7 linked regions of the Rattus norvegicus genome follow. The main gene of each other region encodes a partner of the protein of the gene in region 3 in a complex. Links are inferred from orthologs where the notes say so. Each region holds a gene or a part of one and is shown on either strand. Other genes may lie near its edges.

Region 1 (4,162 bases), on a different chromosome or scaffold from region 3:
GCGGGCAGGCGGAACTATGCGGGGCGGGGAGAGCATAGAGGAGGGGCCGAGGGGGCGTGGTATAGAGGAGGGCGTGGCTCCCAGGACGCGAGGTTTGGTGGTGGGCGGGGCTTGCAGCGACTAGTGGGCGGAGCCAATGGCGGACCAGCGCTTACTAAAACCCTGTGAGTAAACGGAGCTCATGGTGTTGGAGCGACAGGGCGAGTATTCTGCGCGGCCCCCGCTTTGGAGCTCAGCCACGAAGCAGCCTCCTACCGGAGTCTTCTCTGCCTCATCGTACTTTTCTAGGACATTCCAGTGCTGCCAGGGGGCACAGGCCTAGAGCAGATCCACAGGAGAGTGGGGAAGGGAGCTTATTCGGGCTTCCCCCAACGTGTCCCTGCCCTGGACTTGCTCCCTTTGACCTGTCCACAGTGCCCACCACAATGACGTCATTCCAGCTGAGGACCGATGCCCCAAGTCCTTGCCCGGTCTTGAAGGTTTGGAAAGTTTGCAAGCTTAGTTTTCGCGTCTCATCCCCTGGAGGGCACAAGAAAAGGTGGCGCTCAGGAGCCCGGCCATCCATTTCCACCTGACTCCCCCTTTCCCCTCCATGGTTGAGACTCACTGAGGTCGAAAAGCAACGAGGTACATGTGCCGTTATTGGCCTTCCAGGGGCACAGGAACACACCTCCAGTCTCCTCTTGATTTGCGTTTAGGGCCCTGGGGGCGCCCACCACGATGGACACGCTGTTAGGAAAGCTGGGTGAGTAGATTATAGCATTTCTTTTTTTTTTTTTTTTTTTTTTTTTGGTTCTTTTTTTCGGAGCTGGGGACCGAACCCAGGGCCTTGCGCTTCCTAGGTAAGCACTCTAACCACTGAGCTAAATCCCCAGCCCCGATTATAGCATTTCTATCCTGCCCAGTGCCCACTACCCCAGCAGTACCTAGAAGGAGGTGTGGCATAGGAAAAAGTGGACCATCTTTCCTCACAGATAACCTATTGAGGCCGACCTCTTCACTTCAGCTGAAAGTGGACTCTTAGGAAATTAACTTGAGACTAAACCAGTTGGTTCGGTTTGGAAGGGAACGTTTTAATAATCCTTATTGAAAAGACCTCTTATACTTTGTACACTGATTTCCTGCCCCCTACTCCCTCCCAACAAGAACCAGACAAAATTTCTGCCTGTCAAACTTCTAGAGAGGACCTAGTGAGAACTGGTTGGAAGGGCGGAGGTTGGTGAGAGCGAACTGGGATGTGTGGTGCTGACAGGGTTGAGGATCCTAGCAGTCTCTGTTTAAACCAGGTCTGCCATAGGTAAAACGGAGGTAATAGCAACCAATTATGCTGTTGGAAGAGTTAATACAATAAACGGATGAGAGGTATTTAGTATGCCCCAGCAACATGCTTTTGTAAGAGTGTGCATGTTAATAAACACACAGGATGCTTATTAAATTGTGTCCCCGTGGGGTTGGGGATTTAGCTCAGCGGTAGAGCGCTTGCCTAGCAAGCGCAAGGCCCTGGGTTCGGTCCCCAGCTCCGGAAAAAAAAAATTGTGTCCGCGTGATCAGACCTTCAGGGAAGAAACAGGAGACAGAGGAAGAAACGACAGGAGTTGTATTGAAACACTCAGGAGCTCTGAAGCCAGGAGGATTTTCTTTGGTTGGCTTTGTTTATTTGTTTTGAGACAGGCGCTCTCTCTCTCTCTCTCTCTCTCTCTCTCTCTCTCTCTCTCTCTCTCTTTGTGTGTGTGTGTGTGTGTGTGTGTGTGTGTGTGTGTGTGTGTGTAGCTCTGGCTGTCCTGGAACTCACTATTTAGACTAGCAGGCTGACCTCGAACTCACAGGGCACTGCCTACCTCTGTTTCCATTAAAGGAGATGAAAGGTGTTTGGCATGGCACCATGCTCAGGAGTTCTATTTATTCATTCCGACAGAATCTTGTTATGTGGCCCTGGCTATTTAACTTGTGGTAGTTCTCCTGCCTCAGCTTCCAAGTACTGGGTTTACTAGCATGTGCTACCACGGTCAGCTAGAGAAGCACCCTTTATAATCATCAGAACTGAGGCAACCCTAGGTTCCTTCCCCCTCATGGAGAGTCTCTGGATGCAAGTCATCTTGGGAAGGGGAACCTGATTTTTGATGAAGTGGCTCTCTCAGGCAGAAGAAATAATTTCTTGCTGCTGCCTTTGAGAATGGTCATTACTGTTCCCCAGACCTGGGCATTCCAGTGTCCATTTCAATAAGTCACTCAGGATAAACACAGCTACGTGGATAAGCCAGGACTCTAATCTTAGCAGTTTGACCTCAAAGCCTGATCCATACTGACTGTTAGTAATTTATTACTTCTTTTCAAACATCTGTAATTTGGAAGGAGATGAGGTGAGGAATGGAGGAAAGCAAGGTGTACCCGGTAGGCACTTGTAGCTTTGCCAGTCAGTCAATTTAGAGTGAGGGGAGGGAGGTAAAGCGAGTCACATCATTGACGCTTGGGGGAAAAGAAAAAGACATTTTTACCTTTGTTTGCTCAGTGCTCCCTGTTGCTATCCCTCCACAGTGCCCTCCCTGGAACCTGCGCCCCCGCCCCCAGCATTCCTGACAGGAGCACCACTCAAACAGACCCTAGAGTCAACCTTGCTCAACTAGGCGCTAAGAAGCCACAGGAGCACTGCTAAGGGGCAGACCTCTCTCCTTTAGTGCTCACCTCCCATGGCTGTCCTTATGAAAGTCCACTGAGAAGCCAAAGTGGCTGCCATTGGGGCCTGTATAGACAGAGAACTTCACAGAGTCCAGGTTCAAGGCCCAGGCAGGAGGAGCAGCACTTGGTCCCAGGAACAGTGGTGTCCACTGCAGAAGCCACAGGGTATTCCACGCACATGAAGCTCTGGCCATCTTCCTTCTCCCCAAATGTCCTAAGCAGGAATGGTCAAGCTCTTCCCCTTCCCTCAAGTCCCCACCACCGGAAGTTTCGGCTTATCAGACTGGAGCTCATGGCTTAGCAGCAGGCATGGCAGAGGGGAATAGCCTCTGGACCACACGGTCTCTAGGACTACTAGGAAAGGGAGGGTCTGTCCCGGGGATAGGTGCTGATGACCGGAAGTCATTGCTTCTCCCTTCTCTCCAGAAAAGCTCCTCTCCAAGTCCTGTAGTTTCAGTTTCTCAGCCACAGGCCCAGAAATCCCCTTTCTCCTCCTCTGTCACTGTGAAAGTCAGGCCACCATCTCTTTCCGCCCGGGAAAGTGTAAACATGAATTCACAGCTCTGTCTTACTTCACCACGGCCCACGGTTGTACTGTCCTTGTCTCCCCCATGTAGCTGACCACTGAACACTGTGACTTGGCTAGAGGGAGAGGAAGGGGTAAAGGAAGCTGCTCTCCCCTGATAAAACCCGAGGTTGTCATCATTTTGAGTAGGACATTTATCGGCTTCCTCCTCTGCAAGCCTTTGGCAGCCTCAGGCAGCCCCACTTGGCCATTGGTTTCCTCACATCTCCATCTTAACCAGGTCTTGGTGCGTTTACACTGGCACCTTCAATATTGGCAGTGAATGGCCGTGGCCTAAGTGGGATGAGATGACATCGTTCTGAGATTGTCTAGGAGAAAGCTCCTGAGTCCTCAGTCCTTGGCATATACACACACACAGGCACAGTACCTGATGACACTTTTTTACTGAATTGAGTACCTGAATCCTTTGAGAGCAAGGGTCCTTTCTGTTGTCCCGGGGCCTAGCTCACAGCCTGGCATGAGTTGCTGCTGAAAGGTTGACTGGTCTTCCTCAAGGGTGGAAGGAGCAAAGGGAGAGGGGTCAGATTCTCAGGGCCACAAAGGGGTGAGGGCCACAGAATCCCCTTCTATATGGGGGGGGGGGGAAGGGGAACAGAGCTCCATGCCCTGTTGGCCTTGCACGCCTTTTGCCCCAAAGCAAAGGGATGTAGGAATACAGCCACATATAGTCTGTATTTTTTTTTCTCCTTTTCTGCAGTGCTGGGATAGCCTCATCAACGCAGGACAAGTGCTCTATCACCCAGCCATGCCCCCCAAGCTCCACCCTTATTTCTGATTAACCACTGCCTTACCCCACTTTCCCGCCCTACCAACTTTGAACAACTCCCGACTCCTCCCTTCCTCTCACACAGCTGAAGATGTTGCCCCTCATTAAGCAAAAAGCTCCTTGGATTTGTTCAG
Region 2 (3,606 bases), on a different chromosome or scaffold from region 3:
TGAGATATAGTATCTTTGTAGTCTTAATTTTTTATTGATTAGAAATTTAGTTACATGAAAAGGAAAAGACTCAATTGTTTACATATTTTAAAATCCACAATATTTAGGAATTCTCACCTCCTCCCAAAATGCTGTTACATTCTCCATGACTAGGCCTGTGAACATTAAGTTATACTCCAGCACTTTATATTCTTGAGTCTGTAGGAAATCCTAGTCAATAAAAACCAAACCTCTCAATTATAGAATCATAGTAGCAAAAAATGTATTGTTATAGCATTTTACATTCTAACATTACAGTGCCTTGTATGGATTGTAGCAAGTTAGAAGTTGTTTATTAATTATTAACTTACGATTGTCTTAAAGTGACAAGCAGTAGAATTCATCATAGACAAAACATATTCATTAAATAAATTAGTTTATGAAATTAGTTTTATATATTTGATATCACTGCACAATTGCTTCTTTCTTACACTGCTGTATGGAACATGAATTCCTAATGAAACCCTGACAATTATTCATGTCTCAGTTCAAGGCTGATACAAAATTTTTTCTTCACTCTCTTTACAAGCAACATCACAGTCATTGCCTTTCTCTATAAAGGGAAGTATAAGGACTTCTAGAAGGACTTCTGAGCTCTCTGAGGAAGGCCTCCATCAGCAAACTCAAACCACATAGTTCTTAGGAAAGGTGAACAGCATAAAACTTCAATCTGTGCACCTAGAAGTCTTCACTGGTCATCACTGCCCTCTTGTCTTTCTTCCTTGTCCCCTCCCCCTCCTTTATTGGTTTGTCTCATTTTCTTCTTTTTTTCAGATGTTTCTCATTTTTCTTACCACTTTCATCCCTCCACCCAATTACGATGATGTCATCAGAGAAATAGAATTCATCACAGGGCCACTTTGATTCTAAGTTTCAGTAACTGCTCTCTAGTTACACAAATCAAGTTCACTTAACCTTGGGGATGAAATGTTGAATAGAAAAGGCTGAAAAAGATTTGACCACCTGGGCAGGGCAGACACTCTAGAGGGCAGTTGCTGTAACTGTGGAAACCCAAATTACTACATAATGTCAAATCTCCAGAAGACACTCAACACATGTATGTGTATATTCATGGATGCCTATGCACACAAGTACAAATGATATACCTCTACTTCTAATCACTATTAACTAATTCGAAAGTTTCAAAGCCCAAATACAACAGATATAAAAGTTAAGATTACATCAGCATGAGGTAAACAACTGGAGAACCATATAAAAAGTGGCCCACCCTCCACCCTACATTTTACTCATCATAATGATTTACTTTCTACATTGAATATTTAAACAGATATTTTAAAGGATAATAAGACATTTTATCTCAGAAGTTGATTCAATTTGCTATGAAGAAACTACTTTTTATGTAAAGCCCCAAATAAGCCTGTAAGCCCCACCTGCCCAGGGATCAGGTAACTTCCTGGCATGCTGGGAGCTGAAGTTCTTGGAACATAACAATGCCTCATGAGAAAGTACAGTGGCCTATAAGGCAGGCATTCCAGGGTTAGTTGGAACATTTTTCAATTTCCTGCTGAAGTTCATTTTCAATGTTTTTGGATATTTACAAGCTGCCTAGGAATGATTTATCGCAGATTTCTTGGATGGAATTTTTCTAGATTATAGAAACAATTATTTCATTTGACCCTCAAAATCTCCTAGGATTTTATTTCATTAGATTTTCACTGTAAATGAAAAGAGGAAATCTAATCCATTAACAAATCAAAAAATCAAAAAATTCATTTTAGAGAAATTTTCCAATTATACAAATTCTAAAATGTTTCCAAAATTATGTAAGTATATCATCATGGAAGTTACCTGTATTTTTCTTATCATTCCCAAAGAATCATACCATATCTGTACAGCAGTGGGGAATTGCCGTGTGACTGACATACGCAGGACAATGCAGAATGAAATGGTTGTGAATATTTTTCGGAGGACGATTCCATTGATGACTGTGTAGGGAAGCACAGATAAAAAGACTACAAAAAACCCTGAAAAGAAGAAGGCAGAGCTAGTGAAGAACCTCATATAGGCTGACCTCCGGGTCATTTTCAGTTCCTCCCTGTGGAAAACAGAAGATGTAACACATTACTTTCTTTCAATTATCAGATGTCTTAGAATATAAAATCTGAATATACAGTCTAAAGTTTGGGCAAGTTATAAAACTTCTCTCTTGGCCTTAATTAGCTTACATGACTGTTAATGAATAGACCATGTATTTACACAGAATACTTGATAACACAAAACCATTGAGAAGTTCAATAACTATTATAATTAAATTCTTAATTATAATGAAAATTAATTTAAATTGTATTATCTAAATAGATTTAATTGTATATTATTTTTATATCTTTAGTAACTTCATTATTAACATTTGAACTGATATGTGAAAAGAAAAACAATGTTACAAGCTTTATGAACAAAAATGACAATTTTGTAGTTATCCATCAGATTCTTAGCTTATTTGAGATTCTAGCTTGGCTTTAAATAGCATTGATTATATATATATATATATATATATATATATATATATATATATATATATATATATATATATATATATATATATATATATATATAAAGGGGAGAGGTTCTCAGGTGTTAACACAGACACAGAGCACCTGAGAAACATGTTCCTGGGTATTCTCTTCCCAGTCACAACTACTGAAGGTGAGATGCTGCACTAGCTTCCCAGAAGCTACTCTGTAGTCAGAGGCCAATGATTCAGTTGCAGGTGTTCTTCAAAGAGCAGGGAGTAGCAACTCCCTCCTGTTCCCTTTCATTGCAGTGTAATTATCTGCAGTCAAACCTCACCTGAGTTGCAATCTTCTAGTCTGCTCTAGTCCAAACTCCAACTGTGAGGTGTTTACTTTTTTAACACATATAGGAAGAGGTTAAATGCTCTAGTGGGCAAAAAGCAAGGATCACAGAAGACGGTGACAAACGGAAGATGGAGAGCAATAATGCCCTCACTCAACCCTACTACTGTTCCAGGAGCCATAAAACTTTACGCCACACTTGGGATCACTTGTAACAACAACCAGTTCTTGTGTGGGCAAAGACCAATGTTGAACACAAACTGAAGGCTCTGTCTGAAAGGAGGAACAACTAACTGATCTACAGCCTGCTGCAGGGAGGCACTGGACGTACAGAAGCTATGTTGCCACATACCTCTAATCCAGAGAAGTAAGAGTTACTGTCAAGTAGTAGTACTAAAACCATGTATTTTTTAAGTCCTCAAAGAAAACAATGCACTATTGAGCTCACTGATAGAGGTCATGTGTATAACCTATATTGTGATCAGCCTAACGAATTGTAGTGTTTTGTCTTTCAATAAATTTGTCCTGGAAGTGGACTATTATTCAGGTCCTGCCTGTCTTACCTATGTATAAAGGAAGCCATTTTTCCCCCTAATTAAATGTGATCCCATGACTAAAGAAAACTTAATACTTCCCTTGTAGAGATGTAGTTAAGCATAGATGACAGCATAGCAGAAGATGTAAAAGGGCAATGTGTATCCCTTTTCTTCTAGAGATAAAACATATATTCATGAGGCTAAGGAGAGAATTGTTT
Region 3 (3,606 bases):
ACCTGTGACTGTGCACTTGCTGGCATCCCCAGTGGGCACAGCCCGGACACGGTATGGGGAAAAGGGGATCTCATCACCACCATACTTGATGAGGATTGTGTACCGGCCTGTCACATCTGGCACATAGGCCACTGTGTATGTGCCATCATGATTATCTTGGATGTGTGTCTTCTTGGGCTTGCCTTCAGGGTCCTATGAGGCAAAGAGCAGGCAAGGAAGTTGGTCCAAGCCTAGCAAGACCTGGACTATCTCAGGCCTTTCACAAATACGTCAAGTACTAGTATAACAGCGATATATAACAGGGATACAGCTTCTGGGCCCTTCATCCCTCATGGCCCCAGTGGCTGCCTGCCTGTGGCAGAGAGCAGAACTGAAGCCCCCCAAAATCCAGCATTCTCTGACAAGACAAGAGATATGACCAGTTTGGTGCCCAGGCTCAGCCCTGGGCCTATCCTAGGGCACTATGAGCTTATATGAAAGATCTCAAGTGTTGCAACATTATACCTGTTCTGTGAGAATATTGCATGTAGGGAATCTGAAGGGCTACAGGTTTTAATACCATACCTAATAGCAATGAATGTATGTTTAGGAAAGCTTGTTTCTTTCAACTTGAAGAAAATTGTACACATCCTAATGTAGTTACATTAACAGACCAGAAGCAGAGGCCCTGTCCTTAGAGCACAGCTCCAGACAGACTAGTTAGCAAAACTGAGCTGCCTGCCTATCTGTAGTCCTACATCCCAGCTGCCCAGACCTGGTTCCTTTCCTCTCTTCCCTAGGAAGCTCACCGTAATCTGGACAGCCAACAGACCCTCCCCAGCATCCTTGGCATCAATGGTGAACTCCACAGGCAGGCTGGCAGGCACACCAGTGGTGTTGAGTCCAGGTCCACTGGCCTTCACCTTACTGGCATCATGCGTGGGCAGCACCTTGACCTTGAAGGGGCTGTGAGATTAAGGGGTTATGAACCATCGGAAAAGCTTAAGTATGTAGTCTGCCCCCAACAAGCAAGTGAATGTGCTTCTTACCTCCGTGGCACTTCTTCTTCACCATACAGCACAGAAATGCTATAGGACCCTTCTCGGCTGGGCACATAGTTGACAGTCTGAGTACCATCAGCATTGTCCACTACATCCACTGGCTCCACCAGGCCTAGCCCCGGTCCCAAAGACAGACCCTTAGGTTGGCTCTTTGTACCCATTCCCACCCCCATCTCCCTGAAGGACTAGGGCTGGCCCCAAAGACTAGACCTTAAGTTTTTAACACCCAATTCTAGGAATTCCTTAGGCTTTCCCCCGTGCTATATCTAGTCAGTGGTCAAGTCCTGTCTACTATACCTTTTCTAGGGTTCTGCCTGATTTTGTGGTTACCTGAAACCCTTCTACTATCAGTGCTAACCCACATGCTACTGGGCCTAAAATAAATATGCCTCTATAACTCCCTGTTACCAGGTATGTGAAGTCTCACCTTTGGGCCCCTGTACTTTGACCTGCAGTGGGGCAACTCCGGCTTTGCTTGTGTCTACCTGAAAGGACTGAGGGAGGTTGGCACGGACCATGCCTGGGCTTAAGCCAGGTCCAGAACACTTGACTTTAGATGCATCTGTCACATCATGTACAGGAACCTTGAAGGGGCTACCTGGGGATTGATACAGAAGGATGATAGCTATGTAAGACACTGTGAATATGGCAGAGTCCTAGTTTCATCCTTGTCATCATCTTCTCACCTGGCACTTGGTGACCACCATAAGTGACGTTAAGGCTATAGGTTCCAGCTTCATAGGGGATGTATTCTACCGAGCAGCTGCCATCTTTATTATCCATACAAGACATCTTGGCCTCTGAGGGACCCTCAACAGCCAAGCCCAGGCCACCTGTGCCAGCTCCCCTGGTCCAAACAGACAGTCTGTCATTACTTAGGGTTCCCAAGCCCATTGCCTGCCCCTGCATCTTCAGTGGCTCACTCACCTAGTCTCTACTGTGAACTTGTTGGGTTTGTTGGTGGTACCACTTTGGATGCCTGGCCCATGGACACGCACCCGGGAGGGGTCACAGCCCTCTGTTACAGGCACCTGGAAGGGGCTGCTGGGTACAGGGCTGCCATCATAAGTCACATCCACGGAGTGTACTCCTGGAGGGCAGGACAGGTCAGGAAAAACTAGGCTTTTCCACTTATTCCCTGCCCTTCCTAAGGTACCCCCAGCACATTCATACCTTCCTCATATGGAGTATATTCCACTTTGTATGTGCCATCACCACAGTCTTGCACATAGGTATCTGTCAGATTGCCTGAGGGGTTGGCCACACGGGCCTTGACATGTGGCCCTCCAGTCTGTGTAAGAGCCCGGGCATCTACACTGAACTCAGTGGTTGCCTCTCGGAAGACACCTGGAAAAGGCCATAGCGAGGGGGCTGTGGCTGTAGGACTCTTTGCACCCTGTAACTGCTACCCACCCCCTACAGCAGGTCTCCTTACCTTGACCTTCAATCCCAGGCCCATAGCACTGTACGCCTGAGGTATCTACAGCAGGCTCCACCTGTAGCTTGCTGGGGAAGTTGGGCACAGGCTGGCCACCATACTTGATGGTAACAGTGTAAGCCCCAGGACAAAGAGGAATATAGGTAATGGTGTGTGTGCCATCACCATGGTCCTGAATGTATACTTCAGCTGGCAGTCCTGCCTCAGAGCAGATCTCAATCGTCAACTCGGCACTGCCAGCACTTGAGCAGTCTACTTGGAACTGCCCTACCTCACCAGCAGTAGCCCGCTCCAGCCCAGGGCCTGAGCACTTCACCTTGGATGCATCAAAACAAGGAACCACATGGGCCTTGAATGGGGATCCAGGAATGTGGGTGTCAGCAAAAAGGATGTTGATGTTGTAGTCCCCAGGCTCAGTGGGCACATAAGACACAGAGCATGTACCGTCCCCATTGTCCAGGCACTCAAGCTGTGCTTCACAGGGGCCTTCCACTGTCAGGCCCAGGCCACCAGTGCCAGCTCCCTTTGTATCAATGGTGAAGCGGGCAGGGGAGCCTGCATTGCCCCCCTGCAGCCCTGGTCCAAATGCCTTCACCTGAGGGAAGGAAGAAATAAGAAAGCAACTATCAGCCCAACCTTTCATATCTTCTTTTGCCCTAGGTTTCTTCCTTACCCAGAGACATGACAGGAATAGGCTGCCTAATAGGTCATCCACTCATCAATCATAAAAATAGAAATGACAAAGGTTCAGGAAAAATCTGGAGAAGATAGGGGACCCTAAGAAAGGAAAATAGGCTAGTCATGACGGTGCAAGCCTTTAATTCCACCCAGTAGAAGCACATGGATCTCTGTGATTTTGAGGTCCACCAGGTTTATAGAGTGAGTTCCAAGACAGCCAGGGCTAAAAGAGAGAGAGACAGAGACAGAGACAGAGACACAGAGACAGACAGAGACACAGAGGAGAGGACAGGGGAGGGGAGGGGAGGGGAAGGAAGGGAGGAAAGACGAGAAGAGGGGAGGAGAGGAGAGGACAGGAGAGGAGAAGAGAAGGGAAGGGAAGGGAACAGAGAAGAGAAGAAAAATGGGTCCTCCCCTTATAGCCTCCCAAAACTAATTACCTTGCTGGGT
Region 4 (3,606 bases), on a different chromosome or scaffold from region 3:
CCCTCTGTCTTGATCTTTCTCTTTCCTCCCTTCCTCCCTCCTTCAGTACCTGAGTACTAAGGACTGAAATCAAGGCCTTTTGTGTGCCAGGTAAGCACCCGGTCACTGAAGTATGTGCTCAGCCTGAGGACTATTTTAACAAAATTTTCACACACACACACACACACACACACACACACACACACACACACACACTTTGGGGGCTGGTTTTGAGACAGTGAGTTAAGTATGACTTTGAACTCCTGAATCTCCTGCCTCCACCCACAAGTGTTCAGATTTCAGGCATATGCTATCATATATCATACCCGCCCACTTAAATCCTTGCATGTTCAGCACTACTTCTGATGAATGGTATCTAAATTCTTTGCTTAGTTTTTTTGAGGCAGGGTCTGCCTCTATAACCCAGGATCCTTAAACTCTTCATCCTCCTGCCTCAGCTTTCTGAAAGCTGGGAATACATGGACACCATCATAGCAGGCTCATTACTCAGAAGTGTGGGGGAGAAGGTCAGGAGTTCAAGATCACCCTCCCCCCTGTTTTAGTCTCAAAACCCCCCAAAAGAGGCCTGGCGTGGTGGCACTCGCCTCTAATCCCAGCACCCGGGAGGTAGAGGCAGGTGGATCTCTTTGAGTTCCAGGCCAGCCTGGTCTACAAAGAGAATTCCAGGACAGCTAGGGTTTTTACACAGAGAAACCTTTAAAAAACCAAAAACCAAAACCAAAATGAAACAAAACAATTCCCCAAACAAAAAACAAAACACCAAACCAAGGGCTGGAGAGATGGCTCAGAGGTTAAGAGCACTGACTGCTCTTCCAGAGGTCCTGAGTTCAAATCCCAGCAAACGCACGGTGGCTCACAACCATCTATAATGGGATTCGATTCCCTCTTCTGGTTTGTCTGAAGACAGTTACAGTGTACTTATATATAATAAATAAATCTTTTAAAAAACAAAAACACCAAACCAAACAAACAAAACTAAAAAGGGAAGCAAATGCCTCCTCTAGAGCCGGAAGATCGAGAAGAGGATCTCTTGACTTGATTAAGGGAATTGATTTTTGAGCTGATAGCGCCCATAACTATGAAAAAGAAATGTGAACTGTTTGAAGCCACCAAACTGGTTCAGTTGTCTTGAATGCTCTCCATCCGCCCATGAGGCCTGGCCTCTAGGGGGCGGTATTGGGAGGTGGGTGGAGCCCTTAGGAGGCGGGACCTAATGATGGTCCACGTTATCGGTTTGGAACTGTCCCTTCCTCTATGTTGTTTTCTGGTCACGAGGGAGCCATTTTGTCCTCCCAGAAGCCCACGCCACGATGCAGGGCCTCACCAGAGGCTCAAACTGGCAAGGCCATCTTACTACGAACTGAAACCTCTCAACCAGACATATCTTTTTGTCGCTGCTGTTGCTGTGGAAGTGGACGCATGGGGTTGGGGATTTAGCTCAGTGGTAGAGCACTTGCCTAGCAAGCGCAAGGCCCTGGGTTCGGTCCCTAGCTCCGAAAAAAAGAAAAAAAGAAAAAAAAGGAAGTGGACGCATACATTATAGCAGCCACAGGAACCTAATCCTGCTTGGTTGATTTTACTCCTTTCAGAGTCTCAGCTTCCTCGACTGTGAAATGGGTTCACAGTGTCCAGTCTCTTAGGAGGCCCGTAAGGAATCCAATGCTACACTCTCAGTGGGTGCAACCTGGGGGCCACATGCAGGGGAGTACCTGGTAGCAAGGTTCGCACAGGGGACGTCCATCTTTCTGGTAGAATCTCTGTCCAGCCAACTGGCGGCGGCAGGTACGACAGGTGAAGCACTGGGCATGGTACTGCCTCTTCATGGCCTCGACAGCCAGCTCTCGAGGGGACACGGGCTTGTGACAGAAACCACAGACATCTGGGGTAGGGGAGACACAGGTTATCAGCAGCCCAGGAAGGCAGTACCCAATCACCACCCTGAATATGATGCCCTAGTGTGTCCAGGGCCCAGCCTCAAAGGCTCCCTCAATTGATAACAGAAGAGGGTTTATTTATCCCGATCGGCATCAGGTGAACGGCCTTTGGGAAACTAAAATCAAAGATGGTATTGGGGCAGGCACCAGGAAACACACCTTTTTGTTATTTTCAGAGCAGGGTGTCAGCCTTGGGTGTCCTGGAACTCACTAGTTAGACCAGGCTGGCCTCAAACTTAGAGGTAATCTGCCAGCCTTTATGCACAGCTGGTGATATCTCAGGCCAGCCTGGTCTACAGAGCAAGATGGGGATGGGGGTGGTGTGGAGAGAGAGAGAGAGAGAGAGAGAGAGAGAGAGAGAGAGAGAGGAGAGAGAGACAAGAGACAGAGAAAGACAGAGAGACAGAGACAGAGAAAGAAACAGAGACAAGAGAGACAGAGACAGAGAAAGACAAAGAGACAGAGAGAGGGAGAAAGAGAAACAGAGAGAGAGAGAGAGAGAAACAGAGAGAGACAAGAGAGACAGAGACAGAGAGAGTGGAAAAGAAAGCAGAGTTGGCTTTGAGGTATCGTCTCGAGAGAGTGCAGGGGACCAGGTGATACATGCCAACACCCAGATGATCCTGAGTTGTCAAGATCTTTATGTAAAAACTGAAGTCACAAGAATGCTTAGAGGGGAGCTGAAGAAACATCTCATTGCTTAAGAACACATACTGCCTTGCAGAGGACCTGAGTTCAATTCCCCCTACCCTGATCAGTCAGCTCACAACTACCTGAAAGTCCAGGGATCCTATGCCCTCTGGACACTGAGGATAACGGGCACACACCCACTTAGACACACAATTAAAAATAATAAAAATAGCTGGGCTTAGTCGGGCAATGGTCACACACACACACACACACACACACACACACACCTTTAATCTCAGCGTTTGGGAGACAGAGGCAGGCGAATCTCTGAGTTCAAGATCAGCCTGGTCTATAGGACAGCCAGGGCTATACAAGAAACCCTGTCTGGAAAAATCAAACCCAAACCACCACCACCAACAAAATTGCTCTGGAGACCAGGATGGTCTCAAAATCAGAGATCCTGCCTTTGTCTCTTGAGTGCCAGGTATGCACCACCATAGCCGGCTAAAATAAACATTTAAAAAAATAAAACAAAACAACAACAAAAACCCTAAGAGTCTGACGCTGGGTGTGGCGGCTCTGACCAGTAATCCTAGCACTCAGAAGGCTGATGCAGGAAGACAGCTAGCCTGGGCTACACTGTAAGATTGTACCTCACACCCCCCCCCCCCCCAAAAAAAAAATCAAGCAAGTGGTGGCTCACACATTTAATCTCAGCACTTCGGAGGCAGAGGCAGGTGGACAGACTGGCCTATTGAGTTAGTTCCAGGACAGCTGGGCCAAATACAGAGAAACTCTGTCTCAAATAACAAAACAAAACCAAAAAATTGTGAGTGGCAAAAATGTACTGTAGTGACAATTCGGGGGTTTTAGTTTCTTCGAAAAATATAGAAATATTATGGGAATGTGCTTTCATTTTGCCTTCAGGTATGCTTTGACTGACCAAAGGAGCTGACTATGATTTGCCTCGAGCTCTAGCAGAGATGTGATTTTGCCAGCTGCAGATAGTTTGGTTCTTTGTTTCTTAAAAGTATTAACTAGA
Region 5 (4,392 bases), on a different chromosome or scaffold from region 3:
TTGGGTTCGGTTTCCATGACAGCTTACAACCATCTATAACTTCTGCTCCAGGGATCGGATGCTCTCTTCTGCCCTCCAAGGGTACCAGCCACACACGTGGTGCACAGACACAATAATAAAATGAAATATAAATCCCAACATCAAAGGGGGATTTCTTCTTAGGCATCCTTCCTCTGGCTACTGCGTTCCCTGTGTGAAGCCACCTTTCCCTGAGCACACACGTCCCCATCTCTACTCCTCGCCTCTCTTCCGCTCTTCTAGACTTGAAGGCTGCCGAATAAAGTTTACTCAATTCCTTCACTTAACAGATATGGAGACTGAGGCGGGGGAAGTGGAGAGGCAGGCAGTGCTAGGTGTGCTACGGAACCATTGAGGGATCTAGGTGGGATAGAATCTGGTGCTGCCTGAACTGCGGCTTGGAAAAGATTGGGGTGCAGATGTTTCTGTTCCAGACTGTCCCACCCTTTTTCCTTCCTGCCTTCTTTTTGTTTTTGAGAGAGATCTCATTGTATAACCATAACCCTGCCTTGCCTGTAGCTCACTGCGAACACCAGGCTGGCCTCAAAAATCACAGAGATCTATCTGTCTCTGCCTCCCACATGTACCACTGGATTTAAAAAAAAGTATGTGGGGTTTGGGGATTTAGCTCAATGGTAGAGTGCTTGCCTAGCAAGCACAAGGCCCTGGGTTCGGTCCTCAGTTCCAACAACAACAACAACAACAAAAAGTATGCATATGCAGGTGTACCTGTGTGGATATGTGCATATGGATTCAGATGCCCATGGAGAGTGAGTTACAGGCAGTGGTGAGATGCCTGAAGCAGGCTGGGAATAGAATTCAGGTTTTCCAGAAAACAGTGTGTGGTTTTCCACCCCCTTAGATTTTATTGATTTTTATTTTGTGAATATGAGTGCTTCTTACTGTATGTACATCTATGTACCACATGCATGACTTGGAGGCTGAAGAGTATGTTGGATCCTCTGGAACTAGAGATACAGAAAGTTGTGAGCTGGCATACCATGTGGGTGCTGCGAATGGAATCCAGGATGGAAGGGCTTTTTTTTTTTTTTAAGATTTTATTATTTTATGTATGTGAATACACTGTGGCTGTCTTCATGCACACCAGAAGAGGGCATCGGATCCCATTACAGATGGTTGTGAGCCACCATGTGATTGCTGGGAATTGAACTCAGGCCCTCTGGAAGAGCAGCCAGTGCTCTTAACCACTGAGCCATCTCCACAGCTCACAGACCCTTCCTTAAGCTACTCTGTCCACCCTGGGTACCTGAAGCCTATACAAAGGCTGATAGGTTTCTGAGACCCCTCCCTTGCTCTGGCATCTGTCCCTTCCCACCATTTTGGAAAAGCTGCTGAATCCATAGAGGGATGTGAAACTGAGGAGAGATCCCGAGCTGGGGTAAGGTGTGGCTTGGCAACCACAAGCTAAGTTTAGAGGACCAGAGCTTGGGCCCTCCCTGAGGACCCATGTGTCTGTCTTTATATTCCATTACAGGCCATGGTGGATTCATCAACTGTTCTCATTTTTCTGCTCGTTCTGGGCGGAGGTCAGAGTGAGTTAGATACCAAGATTACGTCCTCAGGGGAGACCACAGAATGGGAGGATCCTGACCTGTCTCCACAGGGATCCTGCCAGCCAGCTCCTTCCTGCCAGAAGTGTATACTCTCACACCCCAGCTGTGCATGGTGCAAGCAACTGGTAAACATGGGTCTGCGGCCCCTGAACACGTGGGGTGCGTGTTGGGTGGGCATATTTGTGCTTTTTCTGGGTATACTCTTCAGTCTCACGTGTGGCTGAATTTGGACAGACAGGATTCCGACGTGTGACTCATATGCACATAAGTTTCTGTGCATACGTGGACGGAACCCGTGACCCATGAGCTCAGAGGAAGATGTCCTTGTGGGAGTTCATGCTTCTGCATGTGAGAAAGTGGCCTGGCCAGTTAAATTCTGTGACAATATGGAACAGAAAAATATCTCTTATGAATTGAGAGGCTTGGAATTCAAGAGCAAAATACTGGCCCGTTTGGTTCTCTCTGGACGATTTTTCCTGGCTTAGAGATGGGCCACCTTCTTGTTATATTATTACATGGGAATTGGGGTTTGGGGAGAGGGTCCCTTTGCTGTGGATTCTTTTAAAATGATATTTATTTTTATGTGAACGTGTGTTAGTATGTGGATGTGCACCCCATGTCTGCAGGCATCTGTCAAGGACAAAAAAAGGGCATTGGATCCCTTAGAAGTGGAGTTACCATGTAAACCACCATTCGGGTGCTGGGAACTGAACTTGTGTTTCTCTGGAAGAGCAGTGAGTGAGGTTAACCACTGAGCCACCTCTCCAGCCCTTCCTGTCGCATCTGAAGAGGGCACATCCCATCGTGAGGGTCTCACCCTTAGGACTTCACCTAAACCCAACCATTGCCCAAAGGCCTCACTTCACATACCATCACAACGAGAGTTAAACATTAAACCCAGGTGGGGAATTGTGGCACATGCCTTTTTTTTTTTTTTTCTTCTTTTTGGAGCTGGGGACCGAACCCAGGGCCTTGCGCTTCCTAGGCAAGCGCTCTACCACTGAGCTAAATCCCCAACCCCGGCACATGCCTTTAATTCAAGCACTTGGGTGGCAGAGGAAGCAGGTCTCTGTGAGTCCGAAGCCAGCCTGGTCTACAACACAGATTCCAGGACAGACAGAGCTACATATTGAGGTTCTGTCTCAGACAGTAGATAGATGGATAGATGATAGATAGATAGATAGATAGATAGATAGATAGATAGATGGATGGACAGACAGATGGAGGGACAGACAGACAGAGGGACAGACAGATAACCACAGAGAATTTGGAAGAAGAATCCAGTCCATAGCAGAATGTACATGATGGGGCTTCTGAGTCTGTCTCAGGTATGAATGTGTGGATCACTATTTCCCAGCATGCAACTTGGAGAAGGAAGTAAATGAAGGCTTCCAAAAGCCTGTGGACTTAGGTGAGATTGGTGGGAGGAGGCCAGTGGGAAGCCCTGGGGTACCTGAGGGACAAAGGATGCTGCGGAGTGTGTAATCCTTGCTGGTCAAAAAAATGCTGTTCTTGATGGATGCCTTAAAGAGGAAGTGCTCCAAGAAGAGCTTCAGCAGCAGTCTCTCACAGGAAGATGGAGACTTAGATCAGTGCAGACTTGGTAAGTAAGATATAGGGCACACTGACAGGCAGCCATATTTACAACTGCCTAAAGGGACCACGAAACCATTGATAGTGAAACTGGAAGATAGACTCTGTAGGCAGGGAGGTAAAGGTTCTAGACAGTGGCTAGAGAGATAAGACTCTGGGGACAGCCTCTGATCTGTGTCTACCTCTTCCGTTCCCTAGGGGCTGGCACCAATGCCCACCGAGAAGCCACCTAACCATTTCCTTCCCCTGTGGCTTGTCAGTCAGTGTAGGGTACCAGACGTAGTGAGTGTGTGTGTGTGTGTGTGTGTGTGTGTGTGTGTACGCGCGCGCGTGTGCGCGGACGTGTCTGTCTTTATCATCCTCCTTCCCAGAAACTGGTGTGATTGACCGACCCCCTTCCTATTTTAATCTGGTCATGCAGGGGAAGTTGGACTACGGGGTGGTTTTTCTGTATCCTTGAGGTCCCAGAGATCTCAACCGGAAGTCTGTGGCTCTAGTGAGAAAGGATAGGTGGGAGGCTGTGGGGAAAGGGGAATTGAGATCAGGAAAAGGGCGAGGGACTGCTACAGGAAGTTGGGTGCTGATGAAGAAGAAAGGACTATAGGTTTTCCAAGTAGCTGTGGAGAACGTGAACTGTGAAAATAATCAGGGCTCTGGAAAGCTGGTTGAGAACAGAGCGGGATGTGTAGGTGATTGCAGGCGGTGGGGTTTGCAGGATGGTGTTGGTAGTCGGGTTGAGAACCGTGGGAGCTGGGGTTCAGTGTGCCTCCTCTTGGTGTACAGAACTTCACTGCCTCGGGGGAGGCAGAGGCGAGGCGCTGCGCGCGGCGTGAGGAGCTACTGGCCCGCGGGTGCCCCGAGCAGGAGCTGGAGGAGCCGAGAGGCCACCAGGAGGTGCTGCAGGACAGGCCACTCAGCCAGGGAGACCGCGGCGAGGGGGCCACCCAGCTGGCCCCGCAGCGGATCCGCGTCACGTTGCGACCAGGTGAGTCTTGGGCGGCACAGGGTGCAAGTCTGTGCTGGCCTCGAATGCATTGGGCTGCAGAATCGAGCCTCCCTTTCTCTATCAGGGGAGCCCCAGAAATTCCGGGTCCGCTTCCTCCGAGCTGCGGGATATCCCGTGGACCTGTACTACCTTATGGACCTGAGCTATTCAATGAAGGACGACTTGGAACGTGTGCGACAGCTCGGGCAAGCCCTGCTGCTC
Region 6 (3,281 bases), on a different chromosome or scaffold from region 3:
GACTCGGGGTTCTCCCCTAACTCCACTGTCAGCCTGAAGAAAGGGGAACCGGGTAGAGGCACAGATGATACAACTGAGCTTCAACGCCAAGCACTTTCTACCATAGCTGTTGACAGTCAGATCCAAGAACCAGAAACTTACAAAGTCCATAAAGAACCAAGACTTGGCATCACTTCCTCTGGAATGGTGGGGGTTGGGGGACCTCAGCCCTGCCCTTCTTTTCTGGGGGTGGAGAATGGGCTGACAAGGGAAGCTGGCTTCTCAGAGGTGACAAGCACCTGCCTGGCATCTTGAGTCCCCTCAAGCTAAGCAGGAAGAATCCTGTGGGGAGGGATCCTGAGGACAAAGGCTGTGGGGCTCTGCCTGAGACACATTGCAAGTTTTAAATTACACAGTTCCCCACACTCAACACATACACATGTACACACAGAGATACATCCCCACTGACTGACATTCTTCCAGCCCGTCCCAACCCACACCCCAAATCCCAAACACACATTTAAAAAAAGTCCTCTGTAAACACAATGGCAGAGACTCCCACAGCTCTGGCATCATCTGACGATGGTCTAAGAATGACCTCTTCTCATTAAGTCCCCCGGTAGGTGATATTGGTGAAGGTGGAGGTGGCCTCTTTATACAATGGGTTGTTTGCCTGCAGAGGGAACAGAGGAGAATCCATGGTCAGCTCCATACACTTTCTTACCCCAAACAGTTAAACATCATCTGAGAATATTATCCCGGACATCCTTCTTCAGAGTGAACTGTCAGAACCCAGCTACCGCTTGCACTTACACATCTACTCTTAGGATGGGAACAGATAGGAAAGAAGGAGAGGAGAGAGATGGTGTGTTACTGCTGTTTCTAAAGGTTTTTAATTCAGCCCATCACTTCGAGGGGGAGGACATTTTGGCAGTCCCAGAGTAGCGTGCCATTTTGCCCTGTCTCTCCCATTTCCTCTGCTGTCCCTACTTTTTCTTTCCCTTCATCAAGGGGGCAGTGCCAAGTGACATGAGCCAGAAGGGGAAATGGAGTAGGTGGCGTCAGAACACAGAGCCCAGCTTTTGCCGAAATAATTCTTGTCTTTATCTCATCCCCTGAACCAGTTGCTACACACAGACCTGCTGTGTGCCTTCACCAGGTTTCTCAAACCGCTTCCTAACAGAAAGTAATGGATCCTCCTTAATGGTCGTCAAGAAATCTAGAACATTCCCTCCATGTCAAGAAATTTAGAAAAGTCCCTCAGAGGCTCGAGTGCTGTACATCAGCATTGTCAACCTGGGCGCTGTGATCCCAGTGGAGTCATATCTCAGGTATCCTGCCTATTAGTTATTTACATTATGATTTATGAATAATTACATAATTGCAGTTATGAAGTAGTGGTAAAATAGTTTTATGGTTGGGAGCACCGTAGCATGAGGAACTGTATTAAAGGGTTACAGCATTAGGAAGGTTGAAAACCACTGAGCTACAGGGTCCTAACAGAAACATCTCTGTTTCTTGGGTTCAGTGGATACAAAGTCTGCCAGAAACAAAGTTTCAGACTAACCCTGGTCCTAATTGGAGAGTTACCTGGTCACTTGGTGGGTCCAGGAAAAATAAAATGAACAGGAAGAGAATAGACTAAAATTAAATAGACAAATGGTTCTCAAAAGAACGCTGGTCCATGGGCTGTCAAGCTGGCAGAGTCGGGGAAAGGCAGCTGCTGCCAGGCGTGACGCAGCCGAGTCTGATCCTCAGAACCCACATGGGAGGTGGGCGAGAACTGACTCCTGCAGGCTGTCCCCTGACCTCTGAAAACATGCCGTGGCCTAAGCACACATGCGTTGGGGTTCTTGTTGTTTAGACGCTCGCTTGATTGGATAATATCGGGTTAAACTGCATTCTGGGGTGTCCGGTGGAGCCAGGTTTGGAAGCCACCACCTCTCATTTGCAGGGAATGAGAAAAGGGAGGTAAACGGATGCAAGGCCACTACATGTAAGAGGTTGATCCCCAAAGTAATTCCTATATTTCCTCATCCCTCTCTTTGTCAGGCAGGCTACTTTGCTTCTCTGCCCTCGGTTTCCTTAACTATAGAATGGGAAGGATAAGGGCTGTTACAGAGATAAAGTGTCAGAAGAATTTGGAATAGTTCCACAGAGCCCTCAGAAGATGCTAGCTACTATGTCACTTTCCAATCATGTTTAAACTTCGGGCTTCGTTGCTACAGCACGGTGTGTTATATGTCCCTCATACAGATTTATCTTGTCCCCTACTGGACAGTTATTCTCCCTTTGACACAATATCCTATGTGCATGCAGCGATCCTGACATGTGGTTGCTGTAACGTAGAGGACTAGGAGGTCTCGTGACTCAGACGGACAAAAGAACAGTCAGAACATTTCCGAGTTTCCAGAGCAGAAGGGTAACTGGGGAACAACTGTTGAGGCTGAACCACCACTGAGGATCTCCTGCCTCAATCTTGGGTTCTTGAACCAAAGACTCAGAAGAACGCAAAGCACATCACAGCCACTCACTGTGTCCCATTTGGCTCTGGCTCGTTCTTCCTCAAATTTAGCAAATTCCTTCCGGTCATGAATGGTGATGAGTAGCTTCCAGATGAGCAGAGTAGCAAGGCCAATGAGCAGAATCGCCCCCATCACTGACAGCAGGACCACCAGGATATCAGGACCCTTAGGACACTCTGGGAGACAGAGACGGAGAGGGCAGGAGTCACCGGAAATGTCCAGGAATGAGATCGTTAACAAAGGGATACGGGACTGGAGATGGGACCCTCAAGAACAGGTTCACCACTTTTTAAAGGCATAATCTTTAGGATGGCAATAATCTGTCCTAGGTGGTCCAAATCGGGGTTCTCGGGCTGAACCTAACCCATGTGGTGTGGCTTCACCCAAGCATACATTTTAAAATTTAGCGGAGGGATGGCTCCAAAGCTAAGAGCTTACGTTGCTATTGCCCCCGCATGGTGGCTCAGACCCATCTATAGCCCCAGATCACCTGACACCCTCTTCTAACCTCCACCGGCACCCAGTCATGCATATGCTATGCACACATACTGGGAGGCAAGTTGCTCACACGCATGAATCTCAAAAACAAAATATTTTAAAGAAAACATTGATTTGGGGAGTAACTAAGCCTGGTGGAAAAACCCTTGCTATTTTCCATGAAGCCTTGGGCTCTATCCCTAGCATTACAAACACAGACACAGACACAGACACAGACACAGACACAGGCACACACACACACACACACACACACACACACACACCCCTACACCTGCTAAT
Region 7 (2,943 bases), on a different chromosome or scaffold from region 3:
TGAACCACCTGAGCCCATGAGGCAAAATAAATATAGCCAGAAAAAAAAACCAAAAGCCGGGGTTGGGGATTTAGCTCAGTGGTAGAGCGCTTGCCTAGGAAGCGCAAGGCCCTGGGTTCGGTCCCCAGCTCCGAAAAAAAAAAAAAAAAACCCAAAAGCCTACCTAGTATGCTGGGTCATAATTCTCAGAGACCCAGGAACACCATAAACGCTGTAATTTCTAGGTTACCTGGACCTTCCTACCCACCTTCTGCTTTGGGTTCTGGCTACCACCCCATCCTTCTGTGCTGAACCTGACTGATACTGGGAGCAGGAGAGAGGAGGGTGCCATTTTTGTCATCTGACAGCCTTGTTGGACAGCCACACAGGATTTAGCACTGAGTCTCGGAGGGCTCCAAACATACAGGCCCAAGGACAGGGAAAAAGAGAACTGAGTTTTCCATTCCATGGCCCAGGTCCCACCAGAACCCTCAGGATGTGAATGGACAACCAGGAAGTGGGGACAAAGCACTTGACCTCAGCCACCTTTCCCCAAATGACTCCACAAAGCTTACCTTCCATGGACAGCACGAATGGAAGCTTTATTAATTTTTTTATTAAAAGGCTTTATTTATTTTATGTATGTGAGTACACTGTTGCTATCTTCAGCCACACCAGACAAGGGCATCAGATCCCATTACAGATGGTTGTGAGCCACCATGTGGATGCTGGGAATTGAACTCAGGACCTCTGGAAGAGCAGTCAGTGCTCTTAACCACTGAGCCATCTCTGCAGCCCTGAATGGAAGCTTTATTATTTTTACACACATGATTCTGATATATGTGGGATATAGTTTTACACTCACATATAATACAACGGACAGGATGTTAACAATATAATAGTAGTTTTATACGCTAACAAGTTTAAATATAAATAAGCTGGGGCCACCTTTACTGAGACCCCTGTCTTCCCTTTATGCACGAAAACGTGTGTGGAACCTCTTGGGACTCCGGAACAATCTGCAGGCTCTGTGGCAAGATTGTATAGGTCGGAAGATGAGTCTGTGGAAACCCTGGCAGCCTTGATATAATGGCGGAAAGAAACAAAGTAGGCTTTTGGATCCTTGGCAGCACTGGGGCTAGCTGTAAGCTACATTCTATTTGCAGAGGGGAGGAGGCATGGTCTGGAGGGGTCTCCTCTGACTCCTTCTCTAGCTCTCAGCAAACTTAGGGTTCATGACCGTTGTCGTGGCGCTCTTGAAGAGGGGGTTGTCCTAAAGTGGAATCAAACATGCTCTTGTCAGTGCAGGGACTCCAAGAAGTCACCAGAGCAGTAGAAGTCACTCTAAGGAGCCAACCAGGACAGGAAGCCTTCCTAGGCTCTAAGCCTCAAGGCTAAACCTGCAGCACAGAACACTCTGGGACCCTGGAGGCTAAGCTGGGGTGAGGCCTGTGCCAGCTCTCCAGGATGGCCCAAGTCCCACTGTGAGAAGTAACAGAGTTGGGGAAGGCACTCTGTGTGAGTTTCCCAAGCACCCCTAGGATACAGTGTACCCATCCCTACCAGTGAGAGGTCAAAGAGAAGAGGAAGCCCCTGTGTGCTCTGGGGGTTCTCAAAGAAAGGCCACTCACGTTGTTCCACTGGGACTTGAGTTTCTCCTTCTCAAAGCGTCTGTATTCATTGAGGTCAGTCAGGTGGGTAAGAGCCTTCCAGATGACCAGGAGGAGGACACCAATCAGTACAACGCCGGCCACAGTGCCCCCTATGATGGCAGCCACGTTGGGGCCTTTCACACACTCTAAGGAAGAGGCACACAACCAAGGGTCAGCCCCTCCCTACAGTAGCCAGTGTGCCATGCTATTCCTGCCACGGGGGAAAATCACCCTTTGCCACAACTCTCGAGGAGATGAGAGAATCTAGCTACACCCCTACCAGAGATGCTTCCAAAGGAAACATGAAGGCTGTTTGGCCAGGTCAGTGGCCAACCCGAGGAAAGCTTTGTTGAAATAACAGCATCCCTGGTCACCACCTACTGGTGTTCCCAAACTAGGGCTGTGTTTGAGGCACCCCCGACTATCTCATTGTGCAGTATGAGAATTGGCCGTAATGTCTGAGCTGGTACGTCCAGGCAAAGGGATTCCGTAGTAACCAGTGGCAGGAACCAGAGACCTGTGGTCAGCCATGTGACGATCAGGACACTGTCCCAAGGTCCAGGGCTGGGCTGGCCTCTCCTGGGTATGGGTTCTGGAAGGGCTACACAGCAGACCCCTGACTGTGAGACAGGGGTACTAACAGTCAGGGTGGACCTCTCCCTGCCAGGTGGGTCCCCAACAACATGGCATAGGATCTCTCATATCATCGTGGCCTTTTCAGGGAGGCGTGTTGCCTTCGCAGAGGTTAAATAAATTTGGCCAAGGTGGCGCAAAACCAACATGTTTGTCGTGGTGGAGAGGAGGAGCCCTTGCTCTGGAACCAGCAGTCCCAAATGCCAAGGGCAAAGTCTGCATCCTATCTGTCTTTTAGGGGTTCCTGACTTGAAGACAGGCTCAGGGAGGCTGCAGGTCTTAGTCCTGTAGGAGCCTGGTAGGCTGCTAACCTGAGCTTCCGGTGGTCCTGAGTGGCTCCTCAGCAGTTCCCCTCAGCAATCTGAGTCTGGATGCGGTGGGAGGCTGAAATTCTAAGTCTGCTTGCCTAAGTCTGTATAAGGCATTCTGTCCTATCTTTTGCCCAAATGCATCATGCCGTCCCTCTTTGGTCCTCGTTATTCAACGCATTCCCGAGCCCTTTGGCATCTGACTTCTTACTTCATCCGTTGGGGACCCCAGGACCCATCACCTGTTTTTCTCAGTGCCACTTCTCTGAGTTCCATGCACAGGGAGACTCTCTGCCACCCTCCAGCCCACCCTGCCTGCTCATTTCCTCTCTGTTAAGTCCTAGACCAAACAGCAGTTTTACCCGCGTCTA

The links.
Region 1: the proteins of Flna (region 3) and Itga2b are in contact, whole or in part, in an NMR structure (PDB 7SFT), measured with the Homo sapiens proteins. The link is inferred for Rattus norvegicus from reciprocal best matches to the Homo sapiens genes FLNA and ITGA2B. Residues at the interface, in NP_001104026.1 of Homo sapiens: Thr2263, Gly2267, Ala2268, Gly2269, Gly2270, Leu2271, Ile2273, Ala2274, Val2275, Glu2276, Gly2277, Ser2279, Ile2283, Phe2285, Asp2287, Arg2288, Lys2289, Gly2291, Cys2293, Val2295; in NP_000410.2 of Homo sapiens: Trp1019, Lys1020, Val1021, Gly1022, Phe1023, Phe1024, Lys1025, Arg1026, Asn1027, Arg1028, Pro1029, Pro1030.
Region 2: the proteins of Flna (region 3) and Cftr are in contact, whole or in part, in a crystal structure (PDB 3ISW), measured with the Homo sapiens proteins. The link is inferred for Rattus norvegicus from reciprocal best matches to the Homo sapiens genes FLNA and CFTR. Residues at the interface, in NP_001104026.1 of Homo sapiens: Thr2263, Gly2267, Ala2268, Gly2269, Gly2270, Leu2271, Ala2272, Ile2273, Ala2274, Val2275, Glu2276, Gly2277, Pro2278, Ser2279, Lys2280, Ala2281, Ile2283, Ser2284, Phe2285, Asp2287, Phe2311; in NP_000483.3 of Homo sapiens: Ser10, Val11, Val12, Ser13, Lys14, Leu15, Phe16, Phe17, Ser18, Trp19, Thr20.
Region 4: the proteins of Flna (region 3) and Fblim1 are in contact, whole or in part, in a crystal structure (PDB 4P3W), measured with the Homo sapiens proteins. The link is inferred for Rattus norvegicus from reciprocal best matches to the Homo sapiens genes FLNA and FBLIM1. Residues at the interface, in NP_001104026.1 of Homo sapiens: Met2207, Gly2208, Thr2263, Arg2264, Gly2267, Ala2268, Gly2269, Gly2270, Leu2271, Ala2272, Ile2273, Ala2274, Val2275, Glu2276, Gly2277, Pro2278, Ser2279, Lys2280, Ala2281, Ile2283, Phe2285, Cys2293, Glu2306, Phe2311; in NP_001337080.1 of Homo sapiens: Lys7, Arg8, Val9, Ala10, Ser11, Ser12, Val13, Phe14, Ile15, Thr16, Leu17, Ala18, Pro19, Pro20.
Region 5: the proteins of Flna (region 3) and Itgb7 are in contact, whole or in part, in a crystal structure (PDB 2BRQ), measured with the Homo sapiens proteins. The link is inferred for Rattus norvegicus from reciprocal best matches to the Homo sapiens genes FLNA and ITGB7. Residues at the interface, in NP_001104026.1 of Homo sapiens: Thr2263, Gly2267, Ala2268, Gly2269, Gly2270, Leu2271, Ala2272, Ile2273, Ala2274, Val2275, Glu2276, Gly2277, Pro2278, Ser2279, Lys2280, Ala2281, Ile2283, Phe2285, Phe2311; in NP_000880.1 of Homo sapiens: Pro776, Leu777, Tyr778, Lys779, Ser780, Ala781, Ile782, Thr783, Thr784, Thr785, Ile786, Asn787, Pro788.
Region 6: the proteins of Flna (region 3) and Itgb3 are in contact, whole or in part, in an NMR structure (PDB 2MTP), measured with the Homo sapiens proteins. The link is inferred for Rattus norvegicus from reciprocal best matches to the Homo sapiens genes FLNA and ITGB3. Residues at the interface, in NP_001104026.1 of Homo sapiens: Gly2236, Arg2264, Ala2268, Gly2269, Gly2270, Leu2271, Ala2272, Ile2273, Ala2274, Val2275, Glu2276, Gly2277, Pro2278, Ser2279, Lys2280, Ala2281, Ile2283, Phe2285, Asp2287, Gly2291; in NP_000203.2 of Homo sapiens: Lys742, Ile745, Thr746, Pro771, Leu772, Tyr773, Lys774, Glu775, Ala776, Thr777, Ser778, Thr779, Ile783, Tyr785, Arg786, Gly787, Thr788.
Region 7: the proteins of Flna (region 3) and Itgb2 are in contact, whole or in part, in a crystal structure (PDB 2JF1), measured with the Homo sapiens proteins. The link is inferred for Rattus norvegicus from reciprocal best matches to the Homo sapiens genes FLNA and ITGB2. Residues at the interface, in NP_001104026.1 of Homo sapiens: Val2241, Thr2263, Ala2266, Gly2267, Ala2268, Gly2269, Gly2270, Leu2271, Ala2272, Ile2273, Ala2274, Val2275, Glu2276, Gly2277, Pro2278, Ser2279, Lys2280, Ala2281, Ile2283, Phe2285, Phe2311; in NP_000202.3 of Homo sapiens: Leu753, Phe754, Lys755, Ser756, Ala757, Thr758, Thr759, Thr760, Val761, Met762, Asn763.

Annotation. Positions count from the first base shown.
Region 1 is NC_086028.1:87,922,932-87,927,093, forward strand, and holds the start of Itga2b (integrin alpha-IIb precursor), read right to left. Parts: upstream 2,903-4,162; 5' UTR 2,871-2,902; coding exon 2,683-2,870; intron 730-2,682; coding exon 608-729; intron 520-607; coding exon 422-519; intron 319-421; coding exon 156-318; intron 1-155. UniProt on the Homo sapiens protein: Integrin alpha-IIb/beta-3 is a receptor for fibronectin, fibrinogen, plasminogen, prothrombin, thrombospondin and vitronectin. It recognizes the sequence R-G-D in a wide array of ligands.
Region 2 is NC_086022.1:47,590,124-47,593,729, reverse strand, and holds part of Cftr (cystic fibrosis transmembrane conductance regulator), read right to left. Parts: intron 2,096-3,606; coding exon 1,849-2,095; intron 211-1,848; coding exon 118-210; intron 1-117. UniProt on the Homo sapiens protein: Epithelial ion channel that plays an important role in the regulation of epithelial ion and water transport and fluid homeostasis. Mediates the transport of chloride ions across the cell membrane.
Region 3 is NC_086039.1:157,168,739-157,172,344, forward strand, and holds part of Flna (filamin-A), read right to left. Parts: coding exon 3,597-3,606; intron 3,074-3,596; coding exon 2,476-3,073; intron 2,388-2,475; coding exon 2,214-2,387; intron 2,131-2,213; coding exon 1,968-2,130; intron 1,888-1,967; coding exon 1,727-1,887; intron 1,639-1,726; coding exon 1,468-1,638; intron 1,153-1,467; coding exon 1,029-1,152; intron 946-1,028; coding exon 789-945; intron 193-788; coding exon 3-192; intron 1-2. UniProt on the Homo sapiens protein: Promotes orthogonal branching of actin filaments and links actin filaments to membrane glycoproteins. Anchors various transmembrane proteins to the actin cytoskeleton and serves as a scaffold for a wide range of cytoplasmic signaling proteins.
Region 4 is NC_086023.1:159,176,260-159,179,865, forward strand, and holds part of Fblim1 (heterogeneous nuclear ribonucleoprotein L), read right to left. Parts: intron 1,880-3,606; coding exon 1,710-1,879; intron 1-1,709. UniProt on the Homo sapiens protein: Serves as an anchoring site for cell-ECM adhesion proteins and filamin-containing actin filaments. Is implicated in cell shape modulation (spreading) and motility.
Region 5 is NC_086025.1:135,236,196-135,240,587, reverse strand, and holds the start of Itgb7 (integrin beta-7 precursor), read left to right. Parts: upstream 1-1,516; coding exon 1,517-1,717; intron 1,718-3,968; coding exon 3,969-4,170; intron 4,171-4,255; coding exon 4,256-4,392. UniProt on the Homo sapiens protein: Integrin ITGA4/ITGB7 (alpha-4/beta-7) (Peyer patches-specific homing receptor LPAM-1) is an adhesion molecule that mediates lymphocyte migration and homing to gut-associated lymphoid tissue (GALT).
Region 6 is NC_086028.1:90,061,904-90,065,184, reverse strand, and holds the end of Itgb3 (integrin beta-3 precursor), read right to left. Parts: intron 2,681-3,281; coding exon 2,514-2,680; intron 653-2,513; coding exon 587-652; 3' UTR 584-586; downstream 1-583. UniProt on the Homo sapiens protein: Integrin alpha-V/beta-3 (ITGAV:ITGB3) is a receptor for cytotactin, fibronectin, laminin, matrix metalloproteinase-2, osteopontin, osteomodulin, prothrombin, thrombospondin, vitronectin and von Willebrand factor.
Region 7 is NC_086038.1:11,060,421-11,063,363, forward strand, and holds the end of Itgb2 (integrin beta-2 precursor), read right to left. Parts: intron 1,778-2,943; coding exon 1,611-1,777; intron 1,253-1,610; coding exon 1,190-1,252; 3' UTR 589-1,189; downstream 1-588.